Tamandua tetradactyla: one gene and its partners. The protein of the gene in region 3 interacts with the protein of the main gene of each other region in a pairwise test. Links are inferred from orthologs where the notes say so. Each region holds a gene or a part of one and is shown on either strand. Other genes may lie near its edges. The genes, in order: RABGAP1, XPNPEP1, DISC1 and KIF3A.

Region 1 (6,895 bases), on a different chromosome or scaffold from region 3:
TCTGCATTTCAAGACTTATCTGGAGGTTGTAGGTTTTGGGGAGTTAACCCTAGTGCATGGAACCTTTGTAAAATCTTACATAATGCCTTGGTATTCCTTAGGCTTGGCAGGAATTGTTTTGTTTGGGGTTTGGCAAGGTACGATAGGTAATCATTTCTAACTGAAGTATGCATGAGAGTGACCTCCAGTGTAGCCTCTCAACTCTATTTGACCTCTCTCAGCCAATGATACCTTATTTGTTATACTTCTTTTCTCCCTTTTGGTCAGAATGGCATTGTTGATCCCATAATGCCAGGGCCAGCCTCATCCCTGTGGGTCATCTCCCACACCACCAGGGAAACTTTCATCCCTGGATGTCATGTCCCATGTAGCAGGGAGAGCAATGGTTTCACTTGCAGAGTTGGGCTTAGAGAGAGAAAGGCCACATCTGATCAACAAAAGAGGTGCTCCTGAGGTGACTCTAAGGCATACCTGTAGGAAGGCTGAGTTTCTCTGCTACATACATATGCTTCATAAGAGCAAGCCTCAAGATCAAGAGCTTGGCCTATTGATTATGGTGTCTCTAATGTTTGACACAGTATCTGGGGTTCCCCCATTGTAAAGTTTAATAATTCCATAATTTTTCTCCCATCCCTCAAGAGACTTTGCCAATACTTTTTATCTGCTTAATATACTCTGGGATGTATCCAGACATTACATTAAGCTATACAGGATTAAAGGCTTATTCTTACTCTGAGCTCCGTGTGTTTGGATTGTTTAAATGATGTGATCTCATTTTGAAAATATGTAAACACACACACAGCAGGATATGCACTAAGGTATTAACAGTTGTGATCCCTGGTGGTAACAGTGTGGTGTTCTGAATTTATTTTAGCTTGTCTGTGTTTTCTATTTTTCTCCAAGGCACCTGTAGTGATTCTGAAATAAAGTTTTATGTTAAAATGTATGTTAACTGATAAGCCTGGCATCAGCACCATGGGATTGACATTGTCATTCTGACTAAAAGGGGGAAAAGAAGTGTAACAAATAGGGTGTTGTGTCAGTGGCTGAGAGAGTTCAAATGGAGTTAGAGGCTACTTTGGAGGCTACTCTTACCCAAGCTTCAGTTAGACACTGCTACCTATCGTAGTTGGCCAAACCCCAAACAAGGCCATTCCTGCCAACCATAAAGAAAACCTACAGTGTTATCCTAAAGAACATCTAGGGCGTTATATGAAATTCTACAAAGGTTCCAAGCACTAGGAAAGTAATCCAGAAACCTACAGATGGGTCCCTAGACCAGATAAGTCCTGAAATGCAGAGAGGCCAGTCTCTCCAGAACAGTGACTAGTTCCATCTCCATATCCCATATTACTGACAGCCCCTTCAAACATGGAAAAGATGTAGTAGTCATGGCCCAAAAACCTGGGAAGAGGGAGAAGGATCAAAGGAGATGGGAGAGTTGTACAGAGAAGGTAAAGTTTAACAAATGAGTATGATGGCTGAGTCATTATATTGATGTTTCTTTTAGTCTCCAGTGCCTTGAGGCAGTTAGAAATAAAAACCTAAAATTGTGGAATTGTGACCCATACTAAACTCTGAAATCCGTTCTACAATTGTTGGAGTATGCTTTGAAATTTATTGCTTTTTTGTATATATATTATTTTTCACAAAAAAGAAAAAAGTCAATTGTGATGATACATGCACAGCTATATGATGATAGTGTGAACCACTGTACACTTTGGATGATTACATGGTATATGAATATATAATATATATCAGTAAAAATGCATTAAAATTAAAAAAGGATGTCAAGATTTATGTAAATATTGGTGTCTACATATGAATCAAGAAATGCATGAAAAATGGACACCAAAATATTTAAATAAATTAAATATTAAAATATTTTGTTAGGATTTCAGATTTTACTTTCTTCCTAATACTTTATCTAATATTTGAATACTTTACATATGTGTGTATTATTTATTATTAAGTAACAAATAATACTATTTTCATGAGGTAGGGGTATGCAACTAAATCTATTGTTAAGATGGGTCACAAAGAGGACTGCAACAGAGCACAGTTGTTGGTTTGTCTTTGGTTGATTTCCATGCAATAGCCACTGAAAAACATTTCAAATGACTCATCTTCAGGAAAAGAGGATAATACCACTTGAATAAAGAATAGTGACAAGTAACAGGCTGTAAAAATATTTTATATGTCAAAACTTAAGTAGCGCCCAATCAACAATCACTACCTTTGTTATGGATATATCCTTTTCTTCCCAGATACACTGTAAATTCATTAAAGACATGTACTTTAAACATTATATTGCCAATGCTCTGTATTTTCACTTTTGAAAGATTTCTGAATAAAATTCCAGCCTCATCTCTGAGTAACACTCCAAAACAACCTTGGTCATTTCTGACCTCTTTTGTGTATGTGAAGTACCACAAGGCAGCTGTGTGTAGGCAGTGGCCCAGACTTTGGAGTCAGAAGTTTTGACTGTGACACCGAGGAAACGTGGGGTTCTCTGTCCAATGCATATAACAGAAATGCTATTAGAAAACTGTGGGGCCTGGGGCACCAGTAGCGCAGAGGGAAACCCGGTTGCCCCGCCTCTGGACTAAAAGGGTAGTGGCTGCAAAAGGCTCGATTACCGTGTTTACCTGTTCCCACCAGGCTGCAGAACTTTGGGCAACTGGAGTCCTTATTCTTTACGGTCATCACTGTACCACCAGTTTCGCCAAACTGATACCGATCAAAGGTGAGGTTCTTTGACAGAAGCGTTTAACAGCCTATCTATGACGCCCGGGTTCCAAAAGAAGAAAGAGTTTATTGCTACATGAAGCAAGGAGAACAGACGACCTGTTGGCCTAAAATCTCTCTCCATGAGTCTAAGGAGTTTACGGTTTTATGGATTCAAACAAGGAGAGATGGAGTTATTACTATTACAACAAAAAATATAAAGGTCTACAATTTACAAATGTAAAGGAGCAGAGCTAAACTAGAACTAAGCTAAACTAACCATTACAGTAGCAAGTAGCTAAAAATTACAAATATAAAGTAGTGGAACTAAGCTAGAAGTAAGCTAAAATAACCATGACAGTAACAACGCTACAGTCCTCCTTTAGTGTTGGGCTGACTCAAGTTTCTTCATTAACATTATAATCTTCAGTAACAGTTATTATAAGACTCCGAAGTTGTAAAACAGGGCAAGGGGGTATAAGCAGGCGCAGTCAAGAGGATTTACAATTTGCAATTCAGTGGGTTTCAGTAATTTCAGCTATTTCCTTTTGGCTATTATACATTACATTAGAAAGTAAGAAAAAGGCATCTATATACTACAACTTCTAGACTGAATTTTATAACAACGCCTTTGTAAAACAAAAAAACCCATACCTTTCTCGCAGGTTTGTGGTAAAGCCGAAAGGAGATACCCGTAAATAGACCTACCATAATCCCTCGCACTCTGCACCCAGAATAAACAGGTGAGTTAAGTCGCACTGTGAAATGCTCCTTTTCAAATAGCGCTTGAACCTGAAAGTTGAGCAGGAGGAGACTTGGCTCCACTTCGTGTACTCCGTAGAGTCGTACCCCCTACTAGACTCAGCAGGTGCCACTAGCCCAGCTACCTTCCATCACCAGTTCCACTCCGAGTCCCGGCTGCAGCAGACCCTGACCTAACAACCCTACGTCCAGCTCCCAAAGCGTACGCTACACGCAGGCGCAGAGTCCTGGGGCGGGCTAAATGCTCAGGCGGGGCTTCGCGGAAAGGAAACCCTCGCCTCCTAGTGTTGGGCCAATGAGAGCTCTCAGTTTAGTCGACAGCCTATAAGATGGAACAGAGGGCGGGGCAAAGGGCGGAAGGAGCTGCTCTCACGTGAGTAGGGGGCGGGTGGGAGGGGAGAGGGCGGCTCGGGAGGCCAAGGCGGTGAAGCCTCCGGGACGGCGGGCGGCGGCGGAGGAGGCGGCGGGTCGGGTAGGGTCGCATTTCCCTTCCCTTTATTCCCACCTTCTTATCCACCAACCCCTCGGGGCTAGCTTCTGACGGTTCTGCAGGTAGCCATGCTGTTTTCTCATTCTGCAGTCTGGGCTAGTGAGGCTGCGCTCAGTTCCCTCGACGGGCCGGCCTCTGAGGGGAGCCGTGATTGGGTGGGGGGAGGGCGAACGGGAGCTGCGACGGAAGGGCAGCGCATGCGCAGGCGACGACGCTCCCTTAGCCCCTACCCAAACCGGTTCCCCCTGTCTGGGTAGGTGCTTTCGGAGTCCTGCTTTTGCGGCTGTTCCTCTGGCCCACCAGCAAGGCTGGTTTGTCCTTTAGCTTTCATAGTCTGAGCCCAGTCATCTGGGGAATCTGGCCGTCCCCTCCACCTCAGTTTCTCCTCACGTTCTCCCCGTTGCCCTCGGGATCTGTATTTACTAATTTAGACTGACTTGGACCTCAGGCTTGACTTCTGGGCTGCGCCTAATTTAAAATACTTTCTTTATGGGTCTCTTTTCCATCTCATCGTGGTCTTTCTCTCTCATTTTCCCTGCCTGCAATTACAGTGTCCCGGCATTCCATTCTTCCCTTCTGCATCTCCCCCCCAATACCTCATTGCTGTTCTTATGTTTTGATTCTCAGTCGCCTTCATGGTTTTAGGTGATTGAGCCGGAGGGACAACCTCAGACTTTCAGGAGTTCGCTGTCCACTGTCCGATTGTACTGTGGCTCCTACTCTTCTAACATCCAGATTATTTATCGTCTACTCCTGCTCTTAAGAACATCTCCGTACTTACGGCTACTTTTATTATCTTAGTACCAAGTAGCCTAGGAGACCTTGTTAACAGTGATAATGCTGGTAGTGCTCCGTTGCTTTAAAAGTCATGTTCTAACTTGAATTTGAGGTATTTAGGCTTTTGTCTTGTTTTTTTTTTTAATTAGAGGTGAAAAATGACAGAGATAGGGTTTCACAATTCGTTGGATATTTTTATTCAAATAAACACCTGTATTCTCATACCCGTGACTGAAGTAAACCGTGTTTGTGTGTGTGTTTCCAGCTGTTTTACTGCGGAAGAAAAAAACAATAGAGGGTGAGTGGAACTGTGGCACACTAAACTGATCTTTGAATAGTAGATTAAAAAAAAAAAGGTTATGTACCAAGTACGTGCGCGTCCACCTTTTTTATATCAAGGACCTGTTGCTTTATTCACTTCTATATTGGTTGGAATTTTAATATATATTGGAGGCTTTTAAGTAGAGTTTACCTAGAAAAACTAAAAATAAATAGGGGCGAGAGTTCTTTATTACCTTCCTTTGTAGACTTCCTTTTGCATTAGTAAATTTGAATCTGTGATTGATTTGTATTTATCGGTAACCTTTAAAATTCACAAGTAGCTTTAAACAAAATGACTCAAATTCATGTGTTCAATTTTACAGCTCATTTTACAGTTAATTAACTCATTGTTGGCATTAATAAAATATATATTTGTCTAGAGAGTATACATTTTGTCATAGTGTTTTAGCAGTTTACTAATGCACGTGCTTAATCTGGATTACATGATAGTATAGTGGTACTCTGTAAAAGTGAAGATACCTGTTTCCTAACCTTTTTTTTTTTTTTTTTTACTGATTATTGAGAGAAGTGTATTATGCACCTTATCTATTTGAGGGGTTTTCCACACACTATAACTGAAATATACAATCCAGATTCTTTTAAAGAGGTCTTTGTCTTTGAGTCTATTTCCAGTTAAAGTAAAAGCTGCTTTTAAGGTATCATCATTTCACGGTAATTATTTTAACAAGTGACCTTTGAGTGCAGGCTTCAGAAAATGATTAAATTGATGCTACTGATAAGCTAAGATTCTGCCATAGGCTGCCCATAATGTTATCTTTGTAATTTTTAATATAATCAGATATAATTACACCTCTTAAGTGTGTAGAATAAATAAATACAGAGATAACCTTTCTTGGAGATACAACTCAAATATTACTTAAGTGCTAATTTTTTTTTTCTTTTAAAGAAGTGTTGATTTAACCACAGTACTTAAAGCAGCGTTTGGTATGACATTTTAGTGTTTTGTGTGTAACTGCCTTGTTTTATTGGTTTTCCATAGTCAGATCCCGAAGAAAGAAAATTCAAGGCTAAGGACTTGATGTCCATGGATATACCTGAAAAAACATCACATCAACTTAACAGTCATTTTTTTTTCATGTAATTTGATTGCATAGTTTTTTCCTTTAGTTTTGTCTTCTCTAAAAATCTTTATTCTTTTGAAGACTTGTATGTAAAAACAATATCACTAAACATTTAGACTTAGAATGTAACTATTCTTGTTGACCCTAATGGTTTTGTTTCTCTTCATGTGCAAAGAATATCTGACCAAATACGGCCATATGCCGGTCACGAACATGTTAGTTTATAGAATTTGACCTGAAAGTTTCCCCTCTTTTCCATATCAAGTACCGTACACAGAAGTAGTCACTAGTTGTTGATTAAGTGAGAATTTTTTGAAGCTTATTCTTCCTATCATGAAAGAGCTCTGTAAAGCCTATCTTTTCCAAAGAGTCCCTATCTCTGTGGATCAATAAAGAATAAAATAAAGCCCTCAACCTGTTTTTAAGTTTATGTTTCACATTAAATATATGTATTATCATGGCTCTAAAACATGAGAATCATGTCTTAATTGTATGGCTGTGCTGCCAGACTTGGGGGTTTACCCCTTTCCAAGAGTTAACGCATGGTTGTTATGTATCTCTAGTTAAGTTTGTATCAGCATTTGTGTTATAAAACACAATTCTTTGGGATCTGTAAATCTTTGTGTTAGTAAATTTTTCTGTATATAAACTTTGGCATTGTTATGTACATTAGTAAATTAGTTTCTGTGTTACTCCAACATGTTATTAATAATAACTCTCTTTAACCTTTCTCTTT
Region 2 (7,467 bases), on a different chromosome or scaffold from region 3:
TTCTGACCAAAAAGGGGATAAGAAGTATAATAAAATAAGGCTTCAGTGGCTAAGAGAGATCAAAAATTTGTAAATGTAATCATGGCAGGATTATTCATAATATCCAAAAAAAATTGTTAACAACCCAAATGTCCCTCAACTAATGAATGGATAAATAAATGTGGTCTATCTATACAATGGAATATTATTTGGCAATAGAAAGGAATTGAGTAGTGATACATGCTACAATATAGATGAACCTTGAAAACATTATACTAAGTGAAAGAAGCCAGTCACAAAAAAAACCCACTTGTATGATTTCACTTATATGAAATGTCCAGAAAAGGCAAATCAATAGAAACGGAAGGTAGATTACTGGTTGCCTAGGGTTGAAATGGAATTGGGAAAAATAGCGTGTGACTACAAAAGGGTATGGGGTTTCTTGGGGGGATAATGAAAATGTTCTGAAATTTGTTCTGATGATCGTTGTACAACTTTGTGAATATACTAAAAACCAATGAACTGTATACTTTAATAGGTGAATTGTATGATATGTGACTTACATCTCAATAAAGCTGTTATAAATTTTTAAAAATAAGACTTCTATTTTTCTTGAACAAGCAAACAACATATTCTCACTCGATATTCCTTTGACTTCATAAGTTTGCAGCATGGTGAGCCAAGAAAGTTAGTTTCCCTACAAATTCAAAGTTAACTTGTCCCAATGACTGGTCCAGACAAAGCACTTGAGAGGTGGAGGGACTCTCTAATGCTCTCTAGTACTAGAAATAATATTATTCATTCATTTTACAGGAAAGGAAATAAAGATAACTCACCACAGGCCAAACAACCTCAGTAGCTATAAAGTCAAGACCAGAAACCAGGTCTCTCAATAGGTGAGCTCAAGCTTTCCAAATAAGCATCACCTTCACCTTTCCCTTCCTGCAGGATCAAAGGAGCCATCAAGTAGTTGAACATCAGTTATTCTGCTGCTGTCACACCTGGTCTCTGTAGAGTCCAAGATCCATTCATCTTTCTTTCACTTTGACAGATACACTAACAGGCTCTCAGTCAAAGCACAGCTATTGAGCATCAGAAATAGAAAAAAATGGACCTCAGGGACCATTCAACTCAACTCCCTCCTCTAGACAAAGAGACTAAGAAACAGAGAGATCAAGTGACTTACTCAAGGCCTCACAGCTAGTTGGTGACAGAGCTAGAATGAGGCAAAGCCTCCAACCTTCCAGCACAGTGTTCTTTCCTTTCCCAGGACTTTCTTGGCCTGCACTGTCTTAAGATCATGATGAGTGCTGAGGCAGATAGAAGGAAAGAGGAATTCTTGTTCAGTCTTTCATAAAATGGCTATGTTAAAACTGCCACAAACTACCCAATTTTCTGCCTCTTTTTTTTTTTTAAGAAATCCCAGCTAGGTGCTAGATCACCCACCCACCTTTAAGTACCCTCCCAGTCCATGATGAGAGTCATGCACACTTAGCACTTAGAACAGGGCAAGACAAGGACCAATCATGCCTAGCGAGGTGAGATAAGGGTAGAATGGAACATGTTCCAGGCTGGGGTAAGTGTTATCTTTGACTACCCAGGCAAGACATCCCTCCTTGTTTTTGATAAGAGCACCTTGGTTTTTCTTTGGAGAACACCCCTTCTCCACTTTCTGTCCACATGGTCGATGTGACTCTCATCTGCTCATCCACCAGGGCTTGGGACCTGTGATTCTGTGAATCTAGCAAAGACCATGTTGGTCCTCATAGGCTGCCTCTCCATGTAAAGCCTAACACATCATTATCCATTAGCCTGAACCTATTGTCAGCACTTCACAGGCAGCTCCTTCCTCACAGAGGTTTGTCACACCTCACCACACCATTCCACAGGGCAGATCTGGTTCTCTGCTACCCCTAACATGCTGTAGCAAGATCAAATACAGGTCAGTGTCTGTTTGGGATCTGTCCACTCACAAACACATGCACACCCATGGCCTGTCTTTAGCAAGTGAACCTGGCCTTGCTGCTAATTGTGTTCATTCAGCTCTCAACTGGCTGAAGGTTAGGTGACCCCATGTGGATTGCCTAGAAGTTTGGCTTAGGCCTTTGTGAACTCTGATCTTGTCTCTTAGTCTACTGTTTTGTTAGCAGCTCTGAGAAGTATACCCTGCTAGGGGTGAAAACTGGCTGAAACGTGTTTAAAGTCAGACCCGTTGGGGGAGGGGGGTGCAAATGCCAAATTTCCTTCTCACCTCCCTGTGCCCAGGAAGAGCCCTGGGCAAGCTACTGGTGGGATTTTCCTGGAGATGATGCCAAAATATTCCCTTACACGGTCTCTGAAATCATGTGGGTGGGGAAGGTCTCGCTGCTCTCGCTGTGGTGGTGACAGATCACTAAGGCGAATAGCAGGTGTCAGTATGTCAGGGTTGTAACTTGAGGATTAGATTCTCGGGGAAAGGAGACGACGAGAGGGGCTCGCCCACCTCTCCCGACCGGAGGAGGGGCCCTGAGGGATCAACTTCCTGCAACAGCAGGGCCTTCCTGCGGGGCCGGGGGCCGGGCGATGACCACTGTTCCCTCGGGCCGCGCGGGGCAGCACCGAAGATACATTCCGCCGAGGACCGGGCTCGGGCTGCTCGGTGGTGCCCGTGGCCCCGCCGGAAACGCACCATAACTTGCCGGGCTGCATGGCTCCCTCCCCCAGCTCCCGCTCCGGGGGCTCCCGCGCGCCCGGGTCTTCGCCCGACTCCCGCCGGCCGGCCGCTCCTCACCGGCTAGTCCCTGCCCTGGAGGATGCCACCCGCGCGTCCGGGCCCGGCGGGCCGCACGCTGCCCGGACGCCGGCTCCCCGGCAGATTGCCCTCACCTTCCTCGCGGTGGCTTTCTGGAGGCTGCCATTCGGCGGTGACGTGCTCCGGCCCACGTCAGGGGAGCGCAGACCAGCTGATCACCGATCCAAGGCGGGAGGGAGAGAAGCCCGCGCACAACCAGGCCGCGGCTCAGAGGCCCGCCCGGCGGCGGCCACGCCTCCTCTGTGACGTCAGTTCACGCTGCGGCCCCGCGCACCCGCCGCGGGCTCGGGGTCCGAGACAAAGGTCGCCGCGCGGCGGCGCGTCGTCCCTACTGCTGCTTTTTCTCGCCGTTCTCCAAAGACCTGGCTGAAGAGGCGGTGGCGGCCCGAGTTGCTGGCCCAGGGATGTCCCGGCCTTTAGGAGACCGGAGAGGAGGGCGACGCGGCCAGTTCTGGAAGGACTTCGACAGGGCCCTGAGGGCTTTAGAAATGTCCCCAAAATATTTCGCCAGACAGCCTTAAAACGCAGGTGCCCACTCCACTTAGATAGCTAATAGGCAGGTCAAACTGAACCTGCCAGACGGAACCCCTAGTCCAACGCACCAAAGCAAAACAAAAACCTGCTCCACCAAAATCTTCTCGGTCTCAGTCAATGGCAACTCCATTTTTACAGAGGTTCGTGCCAAAAATCTGAGAGGCCTCCCGACTCTCTTTATATCCCCCGCATGCGGTCAGCTGGAAAGTCTTGGCCCTGTTTTCAAAATAGATCCGTCATGCAACCACTTCTCACCACCTCCAACTGTCACCCCTCCGGTCTGTGTCACTTACCGCTTCCTGGCCTCCCTGCTGCCACCCTATACCTGCCCATATAGGCTTGCCTAACCCGGCAGCCAGAGGGATCCCGTGAAGTCTTAGATCACGTTACTTCTCTGCTCAGCACTTCTTCCATGGTTCCTCATTTCCTGCTGCTTTCACCTTGCTCATGTTGCTCCAGCTAAACTGACCTCCTTGCTAGTCCTTGGAAAAGCTGGACACCCTTATGCCCTGGGCCTTTGGACTTGCTCTTTCCTCTGTCTGGAAAGTTCTTCCCCCAAATGTGGGGGCTCATTTCCTCACCTGGCCTTCGCCTTGCCTTTAAGTCTTTGCTCACATAGCACCTCAATGAGGCCTTCCTTGACAACCATATTTAAAACTGTTAAAATATTTGCATATATTCCTAATCCCCTTTACCCTGCTCCTTTTTAGCCCATAGCGTTTATCCTCTTTTAACATGCTAAAAATTTGTTTTTTGTATTGTGTCCCACATGACCATCAGTGCAGGGATTGTGCCTATTTTGTTTAATGATGAACAATGAATAATGAGGTAGTACATTCTCAATACATATTTTCTACATTAATGAATGTCCCCAGAATGTGCGCTCCTTAAGGGCAGGGATGGTGGCTCTCCAGTTCATCATTAAGTACGTAAAACTGCACCTGGCACAGAATCAGCACTTAAGAAATATTTGCTGAATTAAAGTAGCCACATTTTTAAAAATGTGAATCCATACCTAAATCAAATAGGTTCTGCTGCCTACAAGAATTCAGAGTTCTAAGCATTATTCAATTCAGAAAAGCTAAATTAGACAAGCTAAATTAGACCCTATAGCACATTTTGACAAGCCAAATTAAACCCTGTAAGAAAAGTGTGAAAGAACTAAAAAATATGGCTCCTTGAAAAGCAGCAGGACTCTGTTCCTTGTTCCCCAAATTTATGGGGCCAAAAAGAAGAAGAGGATTAGTGGAATGACTGGTTCTAGCCCTAATCTGAGAGATGGTGGTGTTAAATAAAAATAAAACGACCACCTGCATTGGGAGTTGCCCGGAGTGGCCCCTTTCCAAGACATGACAGGGGCTTTTTCAAAGATAAAAACTGACCAAGGACAGGAATTTCTTCCAGAGCAGAGCAGTCCCAACAAAGTTACAATTTTTGCAACGTTTAATGCTTAGCTCATCTTGGTCTGGTAGAGATAGCCCATTAAAAAGGGATAAGTATGCTATACTAACCAAATATCTCTCCTCCCCCATTTAGAAAACCCCTCTCTTGTAAATTGGAAATAGCTCAATGAAGCTGTGAACTGCTAATTTTTGTGTTGCTAGAAAGTTTTTCTTTTAACAGTAGAAAAGAGCAAGTTGTGAGAGAGTAAAGGAGAGACCAAAGAGATATATAGGTGGGACCTAAAGGGGACAGATATTTTGTTATCACGCTAAGAGAAGAGGCGTTGGCTCAGAATTTACAGCATCTGGGCTTTAGGGGAGAAAGAGAAATTTTTTGTGTTCCCGGAACCTTATTTGAATTCCTATCTGTAGGATAACCACAAGCTTCCCTCTCCCCCGCTTGAGAAGTTGAACTGAATTATCTCTAGAGAGTGAGAATACTGCTGAGGTCAAGTTTCTCTCTTGGCTCTGGCGGTCCTCATATCTATTAAGAGGTAGAGCCCTGATATCTATTAAGGGGTGTAGCAGTGATACTTACTAATATTTACTGTGCACTCTGTGCCTGGCCCACAACAAACCAATGACCAAAGTCCTCATTTTACTGATGGAGGAGGCCTACAGAGATTGATCACTTACCCAGGATTCCACGAGCTAGTAAGTGGTGACACTGCCACATACGTTCAGGCAGTGGGATGGATTCCTGTCTCCAACAAAATCACTAAGTTATATCATAAGGGACCCTAGAGGTCACTCATCCAACTTCTAGTGCATGCAGTGGAAAAGAGGAAAAACCCAGTTTCATCATTCAAATTCAAACTGGGTGGGCCTTAGATGTAGCCAGGCATGTGAAGAAGGTGGAAACAAGCTCTAAATGTACAACTGAACCTGTTATTTTGGCCATCCAACATCCATTCAGCTCCTTCTTGTGACCATTTCCCTCTGTGGATCCACCACTCTTTTCCACTCTGCTTTCCTCATTCCCCCATCCTTGGTCTATATTATGCTGGTGAGACACTCAGATTCCGGGCATGTATCATATGACCCAGGCATAAACCACAACGATAGGCTAAGAGAGATTGTTAGGGGACTAATGCAAGGCAAAGAGATTTTTGCTTTGAGTGCTGGAGCAGAACCTTGTCCTCCTCTGCCAGGCCAGAACCTGGATACAAACACTCTGGAACTGCTGCCTGTGCATGCAACATCAGAATGGCACTGAAGCAGCAGAAAAAAGAACAGAGGGAGGAAAAAAGCAGAAACATCATAACATTATTTGAGCCCTAAATCCAGCCACACCTTAAGCCAGATCTCCCACTAGACTTTTCAGAGGTCAGCCAAAATTTCCCTTTTGTTTTTCAGTCAGTTTGACATGGGTTTGCCTTTGTTTGCAAACAAAAGATTCCTCGTTGAACTAGTTATGTTCCATCTGTACAAGTGAATTTTATACATGAAGATATAAGTTTATTAATATAGACAACCATGAAATAATAAATGGAAATATTAGATTACAAAACAACATATTTAATTTTTATAGATACATATATATCTATAAACATAGAGATACAGATTTATATATATATACTTTTTAGAATAAAAAGAAAATGATGCACAAACTGTTAACAATGGTTATCTCTAGATGGCAGAATTTGGGGTGATTTTAATTTTGCTCTGCCTCTTCATTTCTTTTGCAAATGTTTTTATTAAAAGGAAACTTAGAAGATGGTGGAGTGAGATGTTTCTGGGCCCCATCCCTCCACAGAAACTTTCAACAACCAACAAGAATTGGCAGAAACATCTTTCTCAAAGCTTAAAAAAAAAAAAAAAGCCAGCTAAAGGACTTCTGTAACAGAATGAGCACTGACTGAGTCAAGGAAAAGGCTGCTTTAAAGTGGTAGGACCTTCTGGCACCCTGGCTGGTCCCTTCCCTACCCCTTTTGGGCACAGAGCTCCCAGGGTGGGTCCCTGGTCCTGGTTCCAGAGGGAAGAGAGTAATCCTTGTGCATTCTATGGGAGCATGTATGTCTGGTCCGATTTGTCTGGTGGCGGGCCTGAGAGATCACTATCCTAGAACTTGCCCTGCCTATAAAAAGGTAGCTCATAGAGTTCTCCTACAGGACATTGTGGGAGAAGAGTCAGGTCTTGCTGTCTGAGGCAAGGGACTGCTAGCTGTGGGACACACAGAGTAATGCTCCTGAACCTGAGGAAACTGTTTCCTGAGAAAGAGGTAACATTCCTATCTGCATAAACAGGGGAAGTCCTAGTACCAAGACAAGTCTAGTGCACAGAAAAGAACCAGGGAGGCCCCTATGCTTTGACTTGGAGCTGTTCTCTGAAGTCATTATATGGATAAGTTCTGAAGGATAGGGCTCACAGGTCAGACTGCAAGGGCTGGGAGAGGTGTTTTCTATTTTTCCTTTCTTTTGTTTCTTTGTTAGCTCCTGGCATTCAAGGAAATCCCTGTCATAATAGCAGCTGGATGCAAGTTTAGGGAATAAATGCCTCGGAATTAAAATATCAAAAAGCCGTAGTTTCAACCAAATATTATAAAACATACAATGAAATATGATGCAAAGGCATAGGCAGGGAAAAAGATAAAAGCATCAGAAACCATCAAGGATGAGGCTCAGATCCAGGCTATCCTTGACAAAGTCATTGAGAGAAATGGTCCTAAATAAGCCCAAAGAGCTAAGAAAATATGTTCAAAGACCTAGTGATAGATGAGCA
Region 3 (6,962 bases):
TCTCTGCACTGTACGGAGAGGACCTTTGTCGTCTGCATCTATCCCAGGCTCTTGTCCTTCCTTCCCTTCAATTTCAGGACTCCCGGGGCGGGCGAAGGGGCGGGGTGGGGAGTGCGTGTCAACAGGGACCCGCAGCTGGTCTGCGATAATGGACGGGAAGGAGAACGTCTGCGCTTCTCTGCCTAGAATCTGGTGTGGGGTGGGAGAGCACGAGGAACCGAGCAGCCTGCTTGAGGCTCCCCTCTCCCCCGTCACCCTCTGCAGGCTGGAAAGACCGAACAAAGGCCACCTCTGGGCTTTACAGAGAAGAGAAGGGTGGTTTCCCAGGCAAATTTTCAAGACTGCCTGCACCGTACGGGTGTTGCCGCCCCCTTACCAAGCTCTTCTTCCTGCTCTTTGGAAACCTTGGTTCCGTCGGAGCTGATACTGGTTAGGTGTTAAGAAGGAATCTTTCTCTCTAAGATCTGAATAAATGATAACCTTCCCTAACTTCAGAGTGTGATGGCTTGGTGTTTCAACCACTCCAAGAGGCAAGATTTCAGGCAGGGTATATAAGTGATCATTTATTTCTGGTCAGGGTCCTGCCTTAAATTTCCAAAGGGGGTTGAGGTGGAGGGGTGGGAAGCAGCCCCACTGCAGAGGCCCCCTCCAGATCGCAGCTCTGTCAGCCCCTCTGTGGCCCCTCGTGCCCTCTCCTACGCTCCTGAGGGTTAGGATTGCTGCTGCCCCGGTCTCACTTCTTGGGACCGCTTCTGGGAGGGGTGCATGAGTGCTCAGGTGGGGTGCAGGAGGCGGCTCATCTGTGTATGGAGCCCTCCTCCTCTCAACCCCCCACTTTTTTCTTTTTTTTAAAATCTTTTTGCATGGGCAGGCAAGAACTCTGCCTGCTGAGTCATCATGGCCTGCCCCCACCCCGCACTTTTGAGAAACCCTGTACTTTCGTCCTCACTGCCTGTTGCTCATTGCTTCTTGCTGATCACGAACCTCAGTAGAAGCGTTGGGTCCCATCGGGGAACTGCTTTGTGCAAGCGACTGGAACCTGGCCTGGGGGAGTTTCAGATGCCCTTGGTTAAGTGCCTTCAGGCATTTTAAAAGAAATGAAATTGCAAACGAATTTATTTTCCTCTCGGCATTGTGCTGATAGCTTTTAGCTTTTAGCCAAAAGACAACACAGATTTCACTGGATTCATTTTTCATGATATGAAATTGTTGAATTGTTTTCCTTCAGCAATCGAAGCCAGAATTCAATATTCTTTTCTATTTCCTTTGGACTCATTGTTCATTAGAAAATATTTTGCCAGTTTTATAGGGGAGACAAGAATTAGTCCTTGTGGACCCTCTCTCCTCCCACAGCCTCTTCCTCCTGCTCTTCCTGCTGGTGGGTCCCAGACACGGCAGGGCACGTCGTGTCTCCCTAGGATGACATACTTGGCAAAGAGGACGTGGGAACTCCCTGTCGGACCACAGTGCATAGACACCCCATTTGGCTTATTAATTATTCCCTCTGTACATTTTCATCATATCCTTCTCTGCTGTTCTTCCTTTGGACTCTGTCATGAAGAAAAAAGAAAAAACATCTGCCATCCTGTCATTTTAAGTTATCATCCCAATTGATAGAGTAGGAGGTAAAGTAGAAGGAGCATTTACTTTGGGATTAGATGGGCCTTTCTTCAAAACCAGGCTCTGCTAGTCTGTTATCTGAGAATTCAGGGGCAAATTAAAGCTTTCTTGGCTTTGATTTTATTGTCTATAAAATGAGAACGGGGCCTGTCTCCCAGGTCTAGCTCCTGTACTGTTTCCCTCCCTTCCTTTACCTGTTTTCCTCTTACTTCCTTCCTGGCTAAAACTATTTTCATTCCTCCCTTCACTGCAAGTGTGCCAGTGCGAAACGATTATGTATCCCAGAAAAGCCAGACTTTAATCCCGATCCAATCTTGTGGGCCAGACCTGTTCTTTAGGGTGGGAAACTTTGATTGGACTGTTTCCATACACCCAAGTGTGGCTGTGGCCTTTTGGTTAGATGGAGATGTGACTCCGCCTATTCAAAGTGGGTCTTGATTAGTTTACTAGAGTCCTTTAAAAGGAAGAACATTTTGGAAAAACCTCAGATGCAGATGCACACGTTTGGAAATGCAGAAGCCCCAGGAGACACAATTGCTTTAGAGCCCACAGATGCGGATATTTGGAGATGCTTGGAGTGCCGATGCCTAGACATGGATGTTTGGAGATACAGAGCCCAGTAGACATCACCATGGGCTTTCCCATGAGATGCTAAATCCACAGTTGTGCCCTGGAAGAGTTAACTGAAGACCCACAGACACTTAGAGAGGAAACCACTGCATCAGAAGTTAGAAGCAATGGAACCAGGGAATAAGGACCAACAGATGCCAGCCATGTGCCTTTCCATGTGACAGACATTGGCCTTTCTTGAGTCAAGGTACCGTTCTCTGGATGCCTTAGTTTGGATATTTTTATGGCCTTCAACTTGTAAACTTGTAACATAATAAATTCCCTTTTTAAAAGCTCTTCTCTTTCTGGTATATTGTGTTTCAGCAGCCATTAGCAAAGCAAAACTGCAAGCTTCCAGAAAGCCAGTGTATACTGGGAAGTATCACTCTTCCTGGGGTCCCCAGAAGTTGGCATACCCCATTTAGCAGAGAGCAGGTCACTGGGTGAATATATTTTGGGTCATCTCATCTCCAAATGCTCAAAGTCAGGGAGTGGGTGGTTGTGTGCTATAATGCTTATATTTCCAGGTGGCAAAGTACAGGATTATCATTGACATCCATCCAGGCACTTGTGCAGCACCATGGTTAAATGTCTAAACCTGACAAAGACCCTGGGTTTGTGTATGCTCTAACAGGCAGAGGGAAGGATTTTGGACATGGAGTGAAGCTCTGTCCCACTTCTTGCTGCAGGCTATTGTCTAACTAGAGTTGTGTTCAGTGAACTCTTGTCTTACTTTTATGCACTTGAGCTGGCTCATCCACACAACCATGAATTGATTGATTCACATGGCATGGGCAGGAGCAAATGAATTTAATGTAGGTGAAAATGCTATATGGCTAGTAAGGTACAATGCAATGTAAAAATAAAAACTAACACTTTTTTTTAACACTTACGTGTACCAGGCATTGTTCTAAGCTCTCTACATGTATTAACTCATTTAGTTTAACACTCTTTAAAGAACAAGGTACTGTTAAAATCTCCATTTTACGGATAAGGAAACTGAGGCACAGAGAGGTAAAGAAAGCTTGCTGAAGGTCACCCAGCTAGCAAGTGGTGCAGCCCCGGTTTGAACCAGGTAATGCAGTGCCAGAGTCTTTGCTGTCAACTGCTCCACTGTACTACCTCTATCAGGTGTCAGCATTTGTCAATACCATTCCTGTCCTCTAGCTGAGAGTGTCACACAGCCTCTGCTCTAGAGAACCCACCACCCGGGGCTCTCCTGCAATCTACCAGATGAATTGAGAGGCATATGCAATGCAGCTGTGATCACAGCCAGGCAACGAGGAATCATTGAAATTCACAGAGGAGTAGCTACAATAAATGATTGACTCATGGTTGTGGCTTTCCGGTTTCAAATCACTTGCTTTCCAGGCCCACTCTGGGATGAAAGTGCTGATTTGCAGAGGGTTCAGAAGGAGCAGCCAAGTTTGTGCCTCCAATTTTCATGCTGACCTGTTGGCATAATTTACAGCATTGCCAGCGGCCCTGGGAGGCAGGGGAGCCGAGATGCCATGTTCCTTTCTGCATGTTCCAAGGCAAACACTGACCCAGGCCCCTCAAAGCTGTGAGCCAGCATCTGTCTGTTTTTGGCAGTCAACCCCAGGGGTGTGCAGGGAGAGAGCACCCTGAACTTGGGGTTGTTCTCCAGAAGCTGTTGCAGCTGAGCCTGTGAGGGTTGAATGTTTATGGTGCCATGTCCTCTTTCTTTTCTCAGGCAGCCAGGATGGCTTACCACCTGCAGCATCCTTTGGGAAGACGCGGCTGGCAAGGAGGCCAGGCTACCTGAGAACCACGGCTGGACCCCGGGTTGGATGTCTCTCCCCGGTGGTTGGCATGCTATTTGGTGCCCAGGGAGTGGCATGCGGCGGGGAGCACCAACACTCTGAGCTCCAGGCTGGACAGGGCAGCCGGGACTCTGGAAGCCAGTGGCCAGACCCCTCACTTGGAAGCACTGCGGCCCCAGCTGGGATACCTATGGCTCTGACCCCAGGAGGAGAAACCTCAGGGCGCTTTGAAATTCAGCTCAGAGCTGGTACCAAACCTCCCAACTGGCTAACCAGGTCTTGCAGCCCTGGGGACTCTGGGTGTCAGGGAGAGTTTCCATCCATGAAGAGTTCTGACGTCCCAGGCCCTACTCGGGATGCAGCCTATGGTGAAGGAGTGAGGGGTGCTGGGGCAGCAAGCTCTCTGGCTCCAAAGGGAGCGAAGAGCAACAGCCGCAGCTGGGGAAGTGGCCCTAAGGCCCCCTTGGCCCCTTTCAGCTCTCATGAGGTCTTTACCTCGAGCTTTAGCTTCATAAGGCTCTGCCTTGACTCCGCTGGGGAACGTGGAGAGGCAGAAGGCTGCCCTCCATCGAAGGAGGCCGAGGCACCTCGCCAGGGCTCCGAGGAGATGAAAGCCCAAGCTGCCGGCTCGGAGAGGCCCCAAGAGGACCCTCCACTTCTCTTTCAGCCATTCGATCTCAAGGCTACTTGGGGCCTGGCAGACTCTGCCCAGACTGCACAGAGCAGCCCCAGGCCGGAGTGTGAGACGCTCTCTTTATTAGACACGGATGCTGCCTCCCCTTGTTCCCTGGATTCTTTGTTGCCTGGCTCTTCTGCCTGCGAGGACAGCCCCTTGGGGGATGATGTCGGTTGGGACACCCTGATCAAGAAATACGAGCCTGTGCTGCGGGAGTGTCTGCTGAGCAACCAGAAGCAGTTGAAGGTTGGTGTCCCCTCCCCCTCTGAGCCCCACAGGATTGTCCAAAACTCAGATTAGCAACTGGACAAAGGGCAGGAAATGACTGGGTGCTGTGTTGTCCTACTTCCCCTCCCGGAAGCCACAGCAGCTCCACGTGTTGGCTGGCTGCAAAAAAGATGTGACTGCACTTCTGTTTCTTCCTTTTCAGTTTAGACACAAATCTGTTTGCATTTAGATCTTCCCTGTGACTCTGATGCTCCGAGTTGCTCTCTGCTGACCCATAGGTTCCTCTGCAGTCCCTGGCTTTGGTGAGACATGGTTGGCTCAGCCTAGCTCATTTTGAAACAGGAAATGGAGACAGGGGAAGGGAAGATTGAGCTGGTGTTTGGAAGGGGTTGAGTGAGAAGAAAACAGTGATGCTTTCCATTCAGGGTAATTTCAATCTTCATCTGTATTTACTCCTCTCATTTCATCCTGCGGCAATGGAAATTGTTCTATATACAGTTAGGAGATTTATTTTCTGGTCATTAAATTTCTCTGAATCTCAGTTTCCTTATTTAGATAGTGGGGATGACAATACCTCATAGGATGGTTTTGAGTCTCAAATGAGAACAACAGTAGTTGGAAATTAGAAAGAAATGCATAGATGTAAATTGTAGCATTACTGGATTGTTGTCCATCTAGCTATCTGAGTGGTGGGTAGAGCTGGGAGGGGAAGGGCGGTTCTACCCAAAAAAGATTCCCAGAGGAACCCAGGTAGAGATACTTTATGGCTCACCTACTGGACTGGAGGGCTGACCCACTGAAGGACTGCATTTTTTTTTCTGATGTGTGTGTGTGTATGTTTTATGTAAATGTGAGTGGGCATGACAGGTAGGGAAGTGAACACCCACTCATCAGACATTTGGTAGAAGTATTTGAAAATGTGGAAGTTCATTTTCATGCCCAGAAATCCTATCTTATTTACTTTCAATTCTTTACCTGGAGCTTGATGATCTTAACCTCATTCCTTCTTGCCCAAATCCAGCCCTCAGAGACCTCAGCCCAGTCATCTCGTTTATGACGCAGGGAGACTGTGAAGCCAGGGCAGAGAGGCAGCTCCTGGATGATATGCGCAGTCCTCGAGTTGGACATGCCCAACACTGACGCCATCACCTTTCCCACCAAGCCTGTCCGGAAGTGCCTCATGTTTTATAAATATTTGCTGATTGATTTAATAGAATCATCCAATGCCTCAGTCATCGTCAACCCTTCCTCTCTCTCCCTCCCTGCATCTGATCAAGCTCCAAGTCCTCTCACTTCCACCACTAAGATAGTTCTCACTGCCACCTCCTAGCTCAAGTCTGTGTTATCTTTCACTTGGGTTTCTCAAGAGATTCTTAACATGTTTAACCTCCTCCAGTTTCTCTCTTCTCCAATTCATCCCACAACTGACCTGCAGACCTCTCTTCCTGAAACATAGGTGACACAGTGCCACTCCTTAGCTTAAAAGCTTTGAGGCTCATTGCTGCTCTCAGGATAACATCTGAGCATCTTATTCCAACAATCAAAAGAGTTGTCCCAATCTGCCCCCAGCTGCCAGCCTCAGCCACTGGGCACTGCTTGCCGTTCTCTGTAAGACCATAGGGACTCGTCCCTCAGTGCCTTTTCTCATGGCTTTGCCTCTGCCAAGAATGACCTTTCCTTACTTTTCCATCTGTTAAGTTCCTTCATTTCACTTTCAATGATGCTCCATTGCCACTTCTTCTGAGACATTTCCTACCCCATCTAGACCAAAGAAGTCCCTCCTTCCAATTCATTCCCATAGCACTTTGGACTGCCCCATTGTAGCACCCACCACATTTAGTAATAATTTGTTCATGGGTCCCAATTCCCCACTTGACTAACTAAGACCTCTCTTAGTTGTTTTTGCATGTCTGATACCTAAATTACTTCCCAGTCCTCAGCAAGTGCTTGATTAATATTATTTTACTGAAATAATTAATTGTGGGAAGATAGGCCACAGACAACTCAGCGGGTGAACCACTGCCCTTCCCCCTAATGTGAGACAT
Region 4 (7,711 bases), on a different chromosome or scaffold from region 3:
TTTTTTTAAAAGTAAACTATGTGAAGTACTCACTCACCATTGTAACCTTCAAGAACAGAATCAATAATAGGCCTCGCGGTTAAGTTATAGACGTCAAGCTGTTTACTCTCTGGTCCAAAAACCGTATCAAAAGTAAAGGTCTTGGGAGGTTCATTGGAAGAATCAGTCTTATGCACAGTGATAGTTCCCCTCATCTCATCCACACCGACCGCCTGCTTGTAGCACATCAACTTCTCTCTCTCATTGAGAGGCCGGCACCTCACAACCACCTTCACATTATCACAGCTTTCCGGTTTCTCTGATTTGTTGATCTGGTGGAGAAAATACTCACAGGTAACAACAAGCACATTTACTTTTACCCTTAAAGATTAATTCATGATTTCAGAGGAGCTACCTTGCCATCTCAGTACCCTGTACATATTAAGCATGCCATAAATATCTTTTAAACGCAATTAAAGATCTTACAGATAAAAAAACATTTACAATTTTGAAAAGTGGCTTCTTTTACAAAAGAGGGGAAAGAAAATCTAATTACACATGTAGTAAACGCTGTTTAAGCAGAAAATGAACCAGTATATTAAAGATCGTCTTTCCTAAAAAAATCCCTGACATCATCTGAGTTCCTGACTGCAGGAAAATGTAAACATGGTTAGCAATTTTAATTTAAGAATATAGTATATGCTTTGAGACTTTGTTTTATTTCCTATGGTGCATGATTAAAATGTTTTTTATCATATAATATATCCGTAAATGGTTTGTCATCTCTACAGTGGACAATAATAAAGGCAGAAAAGAAAGTGTCATGGCAGAGAAAAATGTCTTCGTATGACTCTAATTATGAAAATTGTATATGTAAATTTCCAGTTTTGAAATCTGATATAATTAAGATTCATTAAAACACAGTTCCATTATCGAAGTGCAGAAGTTCAACTGTTTAGTTCAACGGATATCTGTTAAATTCCTGTTTCATCTACTCTTCTAAGCATTAGAGAAACAAATATAAACCATTGTCACTGACGCAGACTTTGTCATCGAGAAGTAACAGATTACATCGATACAACACACTTCTCATCACACTAGTCTAGGTCACTATCATCTCAGCCCTGGATTATTACAAACCTCCTCACTGTACCCCTGCACCTAATTAGGTTCCCCTCAGAATGCTCTTTACATGGCACTCAGAATCAAATAAACCTAATTATCTAATCACTCCCCTACTTAATACTTTTCAATGGTTTCCCAGAGATCATAGGATAAAAATAAAAATCCTTAAGGTCATCGAAAGATCTGGCTCCAGCCCATGCCTGCCTCTCCAGCTTTATCCCACAAGCCGCTCTACCTGGCTCCCTTGGCCACAGCCACACTGGCTTTTTAGGCCTTTTGTATTCACCCACTTTTTCTTATCACAGGCCTTTCCATATACTGTTCCTTCTGCTCAGACATTCCTCACTTCCCTCAGTTAACATCTACTTATCCTTCCAATCTCAGCTCAATAGCTGCTTCATCTGGGAAGGCTTTCCTGACTAGGCCAAATCCTCCTGTTACAGGAACTTATGGCACCCTGTACCTCTCCTTCATCAACTCGGCCAGTTACAGTTTTACTTCTGTTTTTTCCTTACTTGGTTAATGTCTGTCTTTCTTTCGTCCACTAGACAAAAAGATGCAGATGCGAAGCTAGGGGGGCTGAATTCAGGCCACAAATGTCTTTTGTTTGGTTCACAATATTTAATTTTTTTAAAATAAGTTGCTAAGATTTTAAAATTGAGAAATTTGACAAAAACAATCTCTAGATTCTCTTGAAAAATGAGATGATCTGATATTTCTAGGCCAGCATGCATTTCTACATGGCAACACCTCCCAAATCGCCAGAATCCATTAAGGTTAAGTGTCTTGTCTCTGAAAACGTGTGTAGTTTTCACCTCTGCCCAAGAAGGCAGGCTTCCCTCTTTCCAAGTTCAAGAACTGCCTGTTTTGCTCACTATCATCTCCAGTGCCTTGCATGTGGCTGGTGTTTAATATTAGATAACTTGAAAGCAATAACAATTCAATGCTAAATGTCAAGCACTTCAAGTTTTCTTGAGCATTATTTTACTTCATCCTCATAATGACCCATGAGGAAAAGTTTAAATGTGTGGGAACAAAGAGACCAGACAGATTAAATAATTGCCCAAGGCCTCATAACCGGTAATAATCGGACACAGCTCAAGCCTATACTGAATTTACAATGCCCCCTTATTATGTGCCCGCTAACGATCTGTGAAATCCTACAAGATAAGCAGTACCTCTCGCGCCTCCATCCCCACCCCCAAAGACACCAAACGGTAGCATTCTGCACTGCAAGCTAAAGCGCCACTATAGGAATGACAGCTCCAGCCCAGGGGAGTCCGGGTGAGGGGCCTGAAGGAGGGGCAGGCAGCCTTCGCCGTGTCGCCTTCCGGGACTCGGGACTCCGGGACTCGGCTCTTTGGCGCCTAAATGCCACCCGGCGCGGAGCATCCCTGGCATACCAACGCTGCTACCCCAGACCTTTCCAGCAGGCAGGGCTCGAGCGAAAATGCATCCTGGGGCGCAGCGCCTTTATGCCAAGCTGCGCAGGCCCCGCGGGATGCAGCAACGACAAAGGCGACAGAGCCTGCTCTCGGGTCCTTCCCACGGGCGGATGAACCCCCGCGGGTCCCAGGCCCATCCGCCTGACTCCAAAACCGCGTGGACCGCGGCGCTGACCCTGCCCCGCCCCACCCCGGCCACCCGCCGGCTCCGCGCCTCCATGGCAACGGCCGCGCCCCCGGGCCAGGCCGCTGGAAGAAGGAGCAACCCCAGAGGCTGACTGACTCTTCTCACCGGCATCGTGGCCCCCTCCCGTGCCCGACGGACGTTCCCGCCAGCGATGCGGCCCAACGACACAGGGTTTGCGGGAGCGACAGGCCAGAGATTACCGAACCACTTCCACCACGCTCTGGAGACTGCGGCTCTTCAAGCGAGAGCGCATAGTGCGCATGCGCACTCCAACCTCGCCCCACCCCGTCCCCAGACCAGGTTCCTTCGGCCCCTGAATACGCCTGCGCCGAGCCTTTCTGAGTCCATCTCCTAGGACGCCCCGCGGAGGCCGCGCCTGCGCAATGCGGGGAGTCTGCGGCGCTAGCAACCTCGCTTGCACTGGCCAGGGATCCCATACAGCCAAGACATGGGAGGAGGAGTCGCTCTTAGGTTGCATTTTCAGGCGATAGTAAATACTCTCATATTAAAAGCAATAATAGCAATTGTATTTTAGCCTTTATTGTGTCCAGCTCGCGAGCTAAAGAGTTTAAAAAGAGCAGCTTAACTGCTGACTTTTGTATGACTTGTCTCACCGTTAGAAGGTAAAGTCAGGGGCACACAGGTATCTCCAGAGCCTAGAGTATGGCCTGGCACAGAGTAGAATTTCACCGTGTACGGTGAAAGAACGAATTATCCATTTGCTTTCCAGTCTGAACCTCTTCCCTCAACACCAGACTCTTATCCCACTGCCTACTCAACATCTCCCTTAGGGTATATAATAAGCATGTCAAGTTCGTCCAAAATTGAAATCTTAATCTGCCTATCCTCCCCACCCCCAGCACCTGCAAAAACAAAACAAAACAAAACAAAGCACCTCCCCTCTCAGACTCCCCTCATCTCAATATAGCAGCCCCATTCTCACAGTTGGCTCAGGCCAAAAACACAATCTCCCTTCTCTCAAACCCCAAATCCAATCCTTCAGCAGAGCCTGCTGGATCTATCTTCAAAGTAGACCCAAAACCTGACCTCTTACTACCACCACCACCTCTCACCTGCATTTCTTCAACAGCTCAGAACTGGCTTGGTTGCTTCCATCTTGTCACTTTTTCAGTCTATTTTCAGCACAGAGCCAGAATGAAGGTGTTAGACATCATATCGAGTCTTTTCTCTGATTTCCCATCTCACAGAATAAAAGCTACAAGCTGGCTCCCATTTTTTACAATTCTCCCTCTTTGTCATTGTGCACCAACCCCACAGGCCTCCCTGCCTCATCCCGCATTCCAGGCATGCCTCCATGGTAGCGTGCAAGGCTTTTGCACTTGCAGTACAAACTCATGAAAATAGCTATGAAGCATTTTACTTAGTGGCAGGCATGTTCTAAGGGCTTTAAGTACTTTATATTTTTTAATTCATTTACTCCATGTGGTAACTGTTTGAATTGGGTAGTACCATTATCCCTATTTTACAGATAAAGAAACTGAAGCACAATGCAATTAGGTAACATGTTCAAGTCACACAGCCAGACACCAAACCCAGGCAGCCAGACAGCTCTTCCTTTAGATATCTGCCTGACCCACTCCCTCACTGACTTCAGAAGGTCTTTGCTCCAGCATCACCATCTCTACAAGGCCTACCCTATTTAAAATGACAACTTTTACCCCAGCTCTTCTTACCTCCACACCCTATTTTTTATTTCTTCATAGTACTTACCACCATCTAATATATACACACATATATATATGCATATACACTTTGTGCTGGTTTGAAAGGATTATGTACCCTAGAAAAGCCATATTTTAATCCTGATCCATCTTGTTGAAGCAGTCATTTTTAATCCCTATTGAGCACTGTAGGTTGGAAACTTGATTAAATTATCACCACAGAGATGCACCCAATTGTGGGTATTAACCTTTGATTAGAGGCAATTTGACCCCACCCATTCCAGGTGGGTCTTGATTAGTTCACTGGAATCCTTTAAAAGAGGAACCGTTTTGGAGAGAGCCACAAGAACCACGAGAGCCCACGCAGCCAGAGACCTTTGGAGATGGAGAAGGAAAACACCCCTAGGGCAGCTTCATGAAACAAGAAACCTAAAGAGAAAGCTAGGCAGACGTCGCCATGTTCGCCATGTGCCTTTCCAGTGGAGAGAGAAACTCTGAAGATAACAGCCTTTCTTGAGTAAAGGTAACTTCTTGTTGGTGCCTTAATTTGGACATTTTTATAGACTTTCTTTAATTGAGACATTTTCACGGCCTTGGGACTATAAACTTGCAACTTATTTATTGCATTCAGGCAGCTAGCAAACTAGAACAATCACTCCTATATACATATATAAAATGTTTTACTGAGATACAATTCACACACCACATAATTCTCCAATTGAAACAGCATATAATTTGATGGCTTTTAGAATATACACTGAGAAGTGCAACCATCATCACAATAAACTTTAGAACATTTTCATAATTGCAGAGAAGAAACAACCTATACCCATTAGCATCCACTCCCCATTTCCCCCATTTTTAAACTCCATCGCTGCCCCAGGCAACCACTAGTCTACTTTCTGTCTCTAAAGATGTCTGTTCTGGATATTTCTTATAAATGGAATCATACAGTGTGTGGTCCTTTGTGATTGGCTTCTTTCACTTAGCATAATGTTTTCAAAGTTCATACGTGTTGCAACATATATCAGTACTCTATCAATGTTTACAGTTGAATAATATTCCATTGTCTGGATATACTACATTCTGCTTATCCATTCATCAGCTGATGGACGTTAGGGTTGTCACCATATTTGGCTATTATAAATAGTGCTGTTATGAACATTTGTGTACAAGTTTATGTTTAAACATATGTTTCAGTGCTCTTGGGTATATATGTAAAAGTGCAATTACTGGGTCATTCACTAACTATAATATTTAATATTTTAAGGAAATGCCAAAATTTCCCAAAGTGGCTACATCATTTTACATTCCCATCAACAATTAAAAGAGTTTCAATTTCTTCACATTCTCAACACTTCTTATTGTGTATCATTTTTATTGTATCTATGCTAGCAATGTAAAATGATATCTCATTTTGGTTAGGATTTGCATTTCTTTGATGATCAATTATGTTGAACATCTTTTCATGTGCTTATTGGCCATTTGTATATCTTCTTTGGGAAAATGTTTATTCAAATTATTTCTCCATCTGAAAATTAAGTTGTCTTTTTATCATTTGGTTGTAAGAGTTCTTTATATATTCTGGGTAAAAATCCCTAATCAGATATATGATGTGCAAATATTTCCTTATATTCTGTGGATTATCTTTTCATGTTCTTGACAAGGTCCTTAGAAGCACAAACTATTTTAATTTTTATAAGTCCAATTTATTTTTTCATTTGCAGTTTGCATTTTTGATGTCATAGCTAAGAAAGCATTTCCTAACCTAAGTCCATGAAGATTTATTCCTAAATTTTCTTCTAAGAATTTCATAGTTTTAGCACTTTTGTTTTGATTAATGATACATTTTGAGTTATTTTTGTATAGAGCATGAGGTAGAGGTCTTTTGCTTATGTATATCTAATTATCCCAGCACCATCTATTGAGGAGATTATTCATTCCTCTGTTACATTTTCTTTGTTCTAGTCTATTCTGTCTGCTGTTAGTATAGCCAATGAAGCTTCCTTATGATTGCCATTTGCTTGATATATGTTCTTGTACCCTTTTACTTTCAACCAGCAAGCATCTTTGAATCTAAAGTGTGTCTCTGATAGATAGCACATAGTTGGATATTGCCATTTTTATCCAGTTTGAAATCTTTGCCTTTTAGTGGGATTGTGCAATCCACTCACTTTTAATGTTAGTTGTAACATAGCTGGGTTTATATCTGCCATTTTTTTTTGTTTTCTTTGTGGCTTATGTCTTTTTTCTCCCTCTGTTCTTCTTTTACCACTTTCTTTTGCATCAAGTGAATATTTTCTACCTTAATATTTTAATTCCTTTAATGATTTTTTCACTATATTTTTGAATTATTTTCTTAGTGGTTGCTTTAGGGTTTAAAATATAAATCTTAACTTATCAGGATCTACTTCAGATCAATACAGACTAACTCCAGAGTGATATAGAAATGTTAATATTTTATAGCTCTATTCCCACTTCCCCTTTTGTACTCTTATTGGTATACATATTATAGCTATAAATATTACAAACCCAATAATACGTTATTATACTTATTACATTATATAATTTTATGCCTTTAAAGAAGCTGAGAGAAGAAAGGAGAACAAGTTTATATTTACAGACTTTGCTATATTAACCTTCTTATTTAGCATTTCTGGTCCTCTTCATTTCTTCCTGTGGAGTTGAGTTATCATTTGTTGTCATTTCCCTACTGCACTACAGCTTTGCTTACATTTCCCTTCTAAGTGTTCTTATTGTTAAATATATTACCTTTCTACATGTTAGAGGTCTAATAATAACAATTATACATATTGTTTACACAATTTCTTTTAAAACTGCTAATAAAAGAAGGAGAAGAAATATGTAATTATACTGCTTTATAATTACCTACATAATTGCCTTTACCAGTTCTATTCATTTTTTGAATGGATTCAAATTTCCTTCTGGGGTAACTTGCTTTCAGCCTGAAACACTTCCTTTACTATTTCTCTTAAAGTGGTGTGTATTAGTTAGGGTTCTCTAGAGAAACAGAATCAACAGGGAACACTTGCAAATATAAAATTTATGAAAGTGTCTCACGTGACCATAGGAATGCAGAGTCCAAAATCCACAGGGCAGGCTGCGAAGCCGACGACTCCAATGGATGGCCTGGATGAACTCCACAAGAGAGGCTCACCAGCCAAAGCAGGAATGCAACCTGTCTCCTCTGAGTCCTCCTTAAAAGGCTTCCCATGATTGGATTTAGCATCACTAATTGCAGAAGACACTCCCCTTTGGCTGATTACAAATGG

What was found.
Region 1: the proteins of DISC1 (region 3) and RABGAP1 interact in a two-hybrid assay, tested with the Homo sapiens proteins (2 studies listed by BioGRID and IntAct). The link is inferred for Tamandua tetradactyla from reciprocal best matches to the Homo sapiens genes DISC1 and RABGAP1.
Region 2: the proteins of DISC1 (region 3) and XPNPEP1 interact in a two-hybrid assay, tested with the Homo sapiens proteins (2 studies listed by BioGRID and IntAct). The link is inferred for Tamandua tetradactyla from reciprocal best matches to the Homo sapiens genes DISC1 and XPNPEP1.
Region 4: the proteins of DISC1 (region 3) and KIF3A interact in binary tests that used the Homo sapiens proteins (3 or more experiments, as listed by UniProt). The link is inferred for Tamandua tetradactyla from reciprocal best matches to the Homo sapiens genes DISC1 and KIF3A.

Annotation. Positions count from the first base shown.
Region 1 is NC_135328.1:44,787,844-44,794,738, forward strand, and holds the start of RABGAP1 (rab GTPase-activating protein 1), read left to right. Parts: upstream 1-3,872; 5' UTR 3,873-3,961; intron 3,962-3,994; coding exon of another isoform or gene 3,995-4,062; exon of another isoform or gene 4,063-4,119; intron 4,120-6,895. UniProt on the Homo sapiens protein: May act as a GTPase-activating protein of RAB6A. May play a role in microtubule nucleation by centrosome. May participate in a RAB6A-mediated pathway involved in the metaphase-anaphase transition.
Region 2 is NC_135339.1:71,769,621-71,777,087, forward strand, and holds the start of XPNPEP1 (xaa-Pro aminopeptidase 1), read right to left. Parts: upstream 3,001-7,467; 5' UTR 2,877-3,000; coding exon 2,845-2,876; intron 2,771-2,844; exon of another isoform or gene 2,750-2,770; intron 1,290-2,749; exon of another isoform or gene 1,166-1,289; intron 1-1,165. UniProt on the Homo sapiens protein: Metalloaminopeptidase that catalyzes the removal of a penultimate prolyl residue from the N-termini of peptides, such as Arg-Pro-Pro. Contributes to the degradation of bradykinin.
Region 3 is NC_135333.1:1,470,530-1,477,491, forward strand, and holds the start of DISC1 (disrupted in schizophrenia 1 protein), read left to right. Parts: upstream 1-3,952; 5' UTR 3,953-4,062; coding exon 4,063-4,935; intron 4,936-6,962. UniProt on the Homo sapiens protein: Involved in the regulation of multiple aspects of embryonic and adult neurogenesis. Required for neural progenitor proliferation in the ventrical/subventrical zone during embryonic brain development and in the adult dentate gyrus of the hippocampus.
Region 4 is NC_135346.1:11,484,267-11,491,977, forward strand, and holds the start of KIF3A (kinesin-like protein KIF3A), read right to left. Parts: upstream 3,015-7,711; 5' UTR 2,848-3,014; coding exon 2,842-2,847; intron 312-2,841; coding exon 38-311; intron 1-37. UniProt on the Homo sapiens protein: Microtubule-based anterograde translocator for membranous organelles. Plus end-directed microtubule sliding activity in vitro. Plays a role in primary cilia formation. Plays a role in centriole cohesion and subdistal appendage organization and function.